2 linked regions of the Tribolium castaneum genome follow. The protein of the gene in region 1 purifies or fractionates together with the protein of each later gene. This does not show direct contact. Links are inferred from orthologs where the notes say so. Each region holds a gene or a part of one and is shown in the gene's direction. Other genes may lie near its edges.

Region 1 (4,196 bases):
TACAGGTTTTACGGGAAATCAATTATTGAAAAGTCAAATTGTGGCGACTAATTTTTGAGTAATTTAGAATCAAATATTTTATTAAAATGTGTACCTTCTATAATCATAGCATAATTAAATGTGATAAAGCCTTATCTCACTTTTTATTTATTGTTTTTTAAGTTTCTTAGCCAGTGTAAAATTGGTGTTTACAACCTCCATGTATGAACAATTTTACAATGTTTAGATCTATCGAACGGGGTGCCGACTACGAAAGGCCCACTACAGTTTTGTTGAAAGTTTTTAATTTTCATATTAACATTGTATATAAATTTTATTGTAAAATATATTTTTTCTATTTATCACGGACTTTTTTTTTTAATCCTGTCGTAACCATTCATCGGCCTTGGCGCTATTTTTTTAAAAACATACCCAGATTAGCCAACGTAACAAAATTTCCATCAATTTGAAATCAACTTTATTATCATTATTAGTGGTTTCATAAACGCAAAATTGATTAGGGTCCATGCATACTATAAATAGGACGCCTAAACATGCCACAAAATTTTAACTAAGACCAAAAACTCAAAACCGGTTTGAGTTTGATTCGAGTGACGATTGGCAATTCTGTGCCACATTCCGCCAGATTTTGGCGCCTTTGCTTTCATAGTTTTTCATTTTCCTGTTAGTTTTCCGAGTGTTAGTGAGCACTGTACCTTCAAAATTAACACTCGGTGTAGCAAAAAGCGAAAATTATCACCCACATTTGCCTGGACTTGCCCTAACTTTCAATTCGCCAAACTTGAAAAAGCGAGGTTAAGTGTTACTGTGTGTTTTACATTTTTCAAAATTATACGATGGTTAAAAGCGAGACACGCGTCAATTTGCCTTGGTAAGCCCAATTCTTTACATTGTAACCACAATTAACTCGTTTTACGCAAAAGGGTCGAAAAATACCGCCCCAGCAGTCTGGACGACTTGGTGTCTCACGACGATATTATCAAGACAAGTAAGCACAACTAGTGCCCAAACCGTTGTTCATTATTTTTTTCAGTCGGTAAATTTATTAGGGAGGACCAGGTCCCCCACTTGTTGTTCTATGGCCCCCCTGGAACGGGCAAAACTAGCACTATTCTGGCTTGCGCCCGCCAGCTTTACACCCCGGCCCAGTTTTCCTCAATGGTAAATTTATTTACGAGAATTGAACGATTTTAAAATAATTTCTAAAGGTTTTGGAATTGAATGCCTCTGATGACCGGGGCATTGGTATTGTAAGGGGACAAATTCTCACGTTTGCGAGCACACGCACAATTTTCAAGTCAGGCTTCAAGCTGATTATTTTGGACGAAGCGGACGCAATGACCATGGACGCCCAAAACGCCCTCAGGAGAAGTAAGTAGGGTTAGGTTGTTAATGTTTGTATGGAAGTTGCTAATAGCACCTTACTACTTAATTACCATTTACCATTTACAAAGTGCAGTACAAGGTGCTAATCCATGAGTGATATGTGTACAAGGGGTAATTATAAAACATTCAACTACTGATACCGCTTTATTGACAATTGCTCAAAAGTTCTTCACACACTTAAATAACAAGACATTAATTTGTCATGACTTGCGAAATAAGCTTAATTATTGATTTTTTTATTTATCACCAGCCAACTCAGCTTGGTAATTAATGAGAGTGTACAAATCTATCGGACTTTTATCGTCACTGGCACAGCTTTTATCCGCATGGCAAGAGTCTGAAATATTATTACTATTATTTTGTATTAAAGTTAATAAAATTACCTTGACTGCAACAAATCCCGTCGAAAGCGCACCGCCCTGTGTTTTTCCTGCAGGGGGCGCTGCCGGCAATGCAGGGCTCGCGTTCGTGGAAAAAGCCCTCACGTTGGCAACGCAGCGTCTCGGGGGTTCCCACAAGACACCCGAAAGGTCCGCAGCAAATGCTGGGGCCGAAACATTGCCCGCTTTGGCCGGGACCGCAACTCACACACTGGCAAATTATTTTTTGTTTTATTTACCAAAAAAAAATTCTTACCGGTTTGACGGCGTTTTCACTTATGGCAAACTTGCTCCGTTTGCCGCCGCGAGGACAGTTGGTAATGAGACATCCTGAAACTAAAGATTCGCTCAAAACGAGTAAAATGATCGAAGTGATGATTGTGGACATTGTGGCGGTTTGTGGTGCAGTGGTTGGTTGTGTTGGGGCTTCGCTTTTATATTGTGCTTGTGGATGTGTTTTTGTGTGCACTGCGAATTTTAAAAAGCACTCAAGAGATTTTGTTTTGTTATGGTGATTGGTGGCTTCTAATATGCGTTTCTTATAAGGTGATTTTTGTGAAATGCATTGGTAATAAGGTGCGAGTATGTCGGATTCGGAGGAGGAAAGTGTCGGGAGACAATTGAAAATTGTTGTTGTGGGGGAGCCCAGTGTTGGAAAGGTTTGTCCAGTTTTTATGAGTTAGCTTATTTTTTGGAATTAATTGTAGACAAGCATAATTAGGAGATTCTGTTATGATGATTTTACAAGACAGTATAATCAAACGGTTGGTGCGGATTTTTATATTCGGCGAATTTCGCTACCAGGTCGTCAGGAAATCACTGTGAGGATCACTGATGTTGGTGGTAATGAATTTAGAGGACATATGCTAGGAAATTATCTATTCAATTCAAATGTACGTAGTATTTTTTCTATCGAAATTGTAAATAAAAAGGAGAGTTTGCTAAAAGTATATCAACTGTTGAATAATTTTTGAAGTGTTTTTTAGTTAAATTGAGTAGTAATATTATTTTTTATCTTCGTAACTTTTGCTGTCCCGTCCGTTATTGCAAACATATAAAGCCGGTTCGCTATTGTTTCTAGTAATTTCTAGTGAGAAATTTGTCAGAACAGACAAATATAGGTTAGAAACTCGAAAGTTTTTAAAATCTGTTAATTATTCACTTAAATTAAATCTGTGAAGTTATGAAACTGGTCCAAAAACAGGGTATTAAGACTAATAATTTGTTTTAATAAAAATTTGAATTTCGCGTGGAGGGAGAAAAGTTTCCCATGGTATTGCGTTAAAATTTTTCGAACTTGGAATTTTGAGCACTGGTAGGTGAAAAACGTTTAGCAGGAGTTAGATAAAGAACAAGTATGGTAGGTAGAAAAAGGAAAAATGGAAAATTACCGAGAAAACATTTTTTACTGTTATCTTCAATGTTCTTTTTAAAACGCCTCGGCAAAGTTGCTCGATTTTTGCGTGGCATTTTATAATTGCTTGTTTTACATCAACATTTAGTATTGCTCGTTTCTTTATAGACTTTTAGCTGCTTATTTTTAAAATTTCAGTTTGAAATTACAATTTTCCTTTCTGCGCTTGTGCCAAGTGTCAAATTTTGACAATAATGAATTAGTACTGCCAATCGGTATACTAAAAAAACTAGGCATGGCGTACCAACCTAACAACTTCACAGCTGGTTGTTATCCATGTGAAAATACAGTATGTTGTTCTTATTTCTTACGTCGTTAAACAAGGCCAAGAAATTTTAATTTCTACTGTCTAATTTTGATATTGTTGAAGTCTTTAATAATTAAACCGGTCTGAATAAATTTTTCAGGTATTTTGACACACAAAATTTTTTTGTTCCATCCGTTATGTGTAAACGAAAAATAAAATCAAAAGTTTCAACAAGTTCCACCTTTTATTAATGCCTTTTAAATTGTCAGAATTTTATAAAGACTGTTTTTAAACAGTAAAATGTGAAGTCATTTTATGTCCCGTCCGTAATAACTTTGTTTTTTTTTTCTTGATCATGTTTCAACTTTCTCTAATCGTAGGTTGCAAACAGTTTGATTGGTGTTAAGTTCTTTTAAAGGAAAATTTATTTCCACTGATACTGTGTTCATAAAAACTGAAAATAAAATCTAATAATTTGTGCAAAGTGCCTCGTTTTTCACGAAATACTTTATCTCTACATGGATGTTAATTTTTCCAGAATTCTCCTACGATACCTTATGATTGAAATTAATTAATTAATAAACCCCTATTTTGGCTGAAAATATTACTTAAGCATCATAAAATTTTGCTTAATTAATATTTTTATTTACGTAATTTTATTTACAAAAAATTGTAGTTCTTGAAATGTAATAAAAATATTTTAGCGAACTCTCCCTGTATTAGGCAATCGTTTGTTCATTCATTGAGTTAGTTTTTTTTATTGACTACA
Region 2 (2,791 bases), on another chromosome or scaffold:
TTGGGACCTTAATGAATTTTTAAATATTCTTTAAGATTTCCCGATTTTGCTAACTTTATTTTTTTTCACCTTCTTTATATCCCTCAATTTTTTTTATTTTTGCATAAGATTAAGCCCTTTGGTAGGGCCTTTCATTGTAAAAAAATCATGTTTGAGCAAACACCCCTTGGGATCTTCATGAATTTTTAAAGATTCTTTAAGATTTCTCGATTTCGCAAAGTTTATTTTTTTCATCCTTTACATATCCTTCAATTTTTTTTATTTGTGCAGGAGATTAAGCCCTTTGATAGGGCCTTCGACTGTAAAAAAATCATTTTCCGACAAACATCCCTTGGGACCTTAATGAATTTTTTAAAATTCTTTAAGATTTCCCGATTTCTCAAACTTTATTTTTTTCACTCTCTTTATATCCTTAAATTTTTCTTATTTTTGCAGAAGAGTAAGCCCTTTGATATGGCTTTCGACTGTAAAACAAATCATTTTCGGACAAACACCCCTTGGGACTTTAATGAATTTTTAAATTTTTTTATGATTTCCCGATTTCGCAAACTTAATTTTTTTCACTTTCTTTATACCCTTCAATATTTTTTATTTTTGCAGGAGATTAAGCCCTTTGATAGAGCCTTCGACTGTAAAAAAATCATGTTCCGACAATCACCCTTTGGGACTTTAATGAATTTTTAAAGATTCTTTAAGATTTTCCGATTTCTCAAACTTTATTTTTTTCACCCTCTTTATATCCTTCAATTTTTCTTATTTTTGCAGGAGAGTAAGCCCTTTGATATGGCTTTTGACTGTAAAACAAATCATTTTCGGACAAACACCCCTTGGGACTTTAATGAATTTTTATTTTTTTTTTATGATTTCCCGATTTCGCAAACTTAATTTTTTTTCACCCCCTTTGTACCCTTCAATATTTTTTATTTTTGCAGGAGATTAAGCCCTTTGATAGAGCCTTCGACTGTGAAAAAATCATGTTCGGACAAATACTCCTTGGGACCTTTATGAATTTTTGAAAATTCTTTAAGATTTTCCGATTTCGCAAACTTTATTTTTTTCACTCTCTTTATATCCTTCAATTTTTTTATTTTTGCAGGAGATTAAGCCCTTTGATAGGGCCTTTGACTGTGAAAAAATCATGTTCGGACAAACACCCATTGGGACCTTAATGAATTTTTAAAGATTCTTTAAGATTTCCCGATTTTGCAAACTTTATTTTTTTTACCCTTTTTATATCCTTCATTTTTTTTTATTTTTGCAGGATATTATGCTCTTCGATAGGGCATTCGACTGTGTTTTTTTTTCTTCTTTAATTCATTGCCCAGTTTTTTTGTATGTCGTTTCATATTCTAATCTTTAGTAATGCGTAAAATAAAAAAAACATTATTATCATTAATTTAGCACTTTTTTCAAATTGAATTAATAATAGTTACGGAAAAATTCGAAAAAGTAGAGGACGCGCTGATCGTGTCATCACTGTCAGCTGTCAAAACTTTGCTTTTTTGAGGTTAGTTTCTATGTTTGCCTCAAAATCGCATCCAAACAACGAATTCGCCCCTTGCCTTCTTCGGGAGAATGTCCGAGAGCACTCGCGCCGAAGAGATACTTAAGGGTTTTCAAGTGTGAGTATCGTTTTTTTTTGGGGGCAAATTTGAAAAATCGCGTAGGAATTGGGTTTGTTTGCGTGACGCCGACGGTGGGACCGTTTTCTGGCAAGGTTGCGAGGACTTGAGCTTTCCGGACGTGGAACATGAAGCTCACGTACCTAAAAACATCCTCAAATGTCGTGCAGTATCTCGAGAGTTTAATTTTAGTTCCAAAGAACAAATCGAAAAATTTCGTCTGGAGCAGGTAACATGTGCAAAATAGCGGTGTTTTATTGGCTTGTGTGCAGAAAGTATTGTTTAAGGGACGGTGTCTTGAAGAGTGGTACTTCGAATTTGGTTTTGTTATGCCAGAATCGACAAATACATGGCAATCGATCATGGAGGCAGCACCTGAGTCTGAAATGATGCCCGCGTCCGTCCTCAAGTATAAATTGCCGCAAATCAATCGAGTTTAATCAATAATTTCATTTCCAGCGGCAATGTTGTCATTGAAACGAAATTCTATGACGACGACTTGCTAATTTCCACATCGAGAGTGCGTTTATTCTACGTTTGAATCAAAAGACACCAACGGGGCCACTGTTGCGTTTTGTTACCTTTGTGTGTGATAATAACAATGTGTGCATTTACTTTATTAAATTTTTCAATAATAAAAATTGTTTTATTTCGCAAACCCTAACACCAGCAATAATGGGAACACAGAGTATATAATTTTATATACTCTGTATAATGGGAGATTGTCCGGTAACAGTATCGGTAATGTAGAGCGCTGCAAGCGTGACGTCACTCAGTATGCTGTTTTAGCCGTCTAACAAGTTACGAACATAAAAATAATGAAATATGCTCGTATACAGACACAAAAATTCATTTATTACTCATTAAAAAATGGTTTTTTATTGCTACATTTTGTAATCATACTGACATTTGTCAGTCTTAATTTTTTTAAATAACCGACATTTATGTTGAATGTCTTATCTTACTTGTAATTAGAAAAAAAATGAAATTAGAAATTAAAAAAATAAATCTAGTAATAAAAATAAAAAAATACTGACAGTTAATGATAATTGGCTTTATCTTTTTGTTTTTTATTTATTTTATTTTCGGTACTAAACATTTATATTTACAAGATTTAACAGTTAATACATTTTTTACAGAACGTTTGTAAAACACTATAATATCTTTCT

What was found.
Region 2: the proteins of ras-related protein Rab-28-like (region 1) and PrBP purify together in Homo sapiens (affinity purification with mass spectrometry; 3 studies listed by BioGRID and IntAct, with this or other methods). This does not show direct contact. The link is inferred for Tribolium castaneum from reciprocal best matches to the Homo sapiens genes RAB28 and PDE6D.

The regions. Positions count from the first base shown.
Region 1 is NC_087399.1:2,692,087-2,696,282, reverse strand, and holds the start of ras-related protein Rab-28-like, read left to right. Parts: upstream 1-1,371; 5' UTR 1,372-1,497; intron 1,498-1,518; exon of another isoform or gene 1,519-1,622; coding exon of another isoform or gene 1,623-1,723; intron 1,724-1,769; coding exon of another isoform or gene 1,770-1,977; intron 1,978-2,022; coding exon of another isoform or gene 2,023-2,154; exon of another isoform or gene 2,155-2,172; intron 2,173-2,312; 5' UTR 2,313-2,350; coding exon 2,351-2,425; intron 2,426-2,473; coding exon 2,474-2,659; intron 2,660-4,196. Other genes in the region: IT (oxytocin/vasopressin-like peptide precursor), read right to left, coding at 1,623-1,723, 1,770-1,977, 2,023-2,154; Septin4 (septin-2), read left to right, coding at 837-871, 924-988, 1,034-1,161, 1,209-1,371.
Region 2 is NC_087401.1:12,576,867-12,579,657, forward strand, and holds PrBP (retinal rod rhodopsin-sensitive cGMP 3',5'-cyclic phosphodiesterase subunit delta), read left to right. Parts: upstream 1-1,463; 5' UTR 1,464-1,575; coding exon 1,576-1,622; intron 1,623-1,667; coding exon 1,668-1,851; intron 1,852-1,894; coding exon 1,895-2,031; intron 2,032-2,081; coding exon 2,082-2,163; 3' UTR 2,164-2,263; downstream 2,264-2,791. UniProt on the Homo sapiens protein: Promotes the release of prenylated target proteins from cellular membranes. Modulates the activity of prenylated or palmitoylated Ras family members by regulating their subcellular location.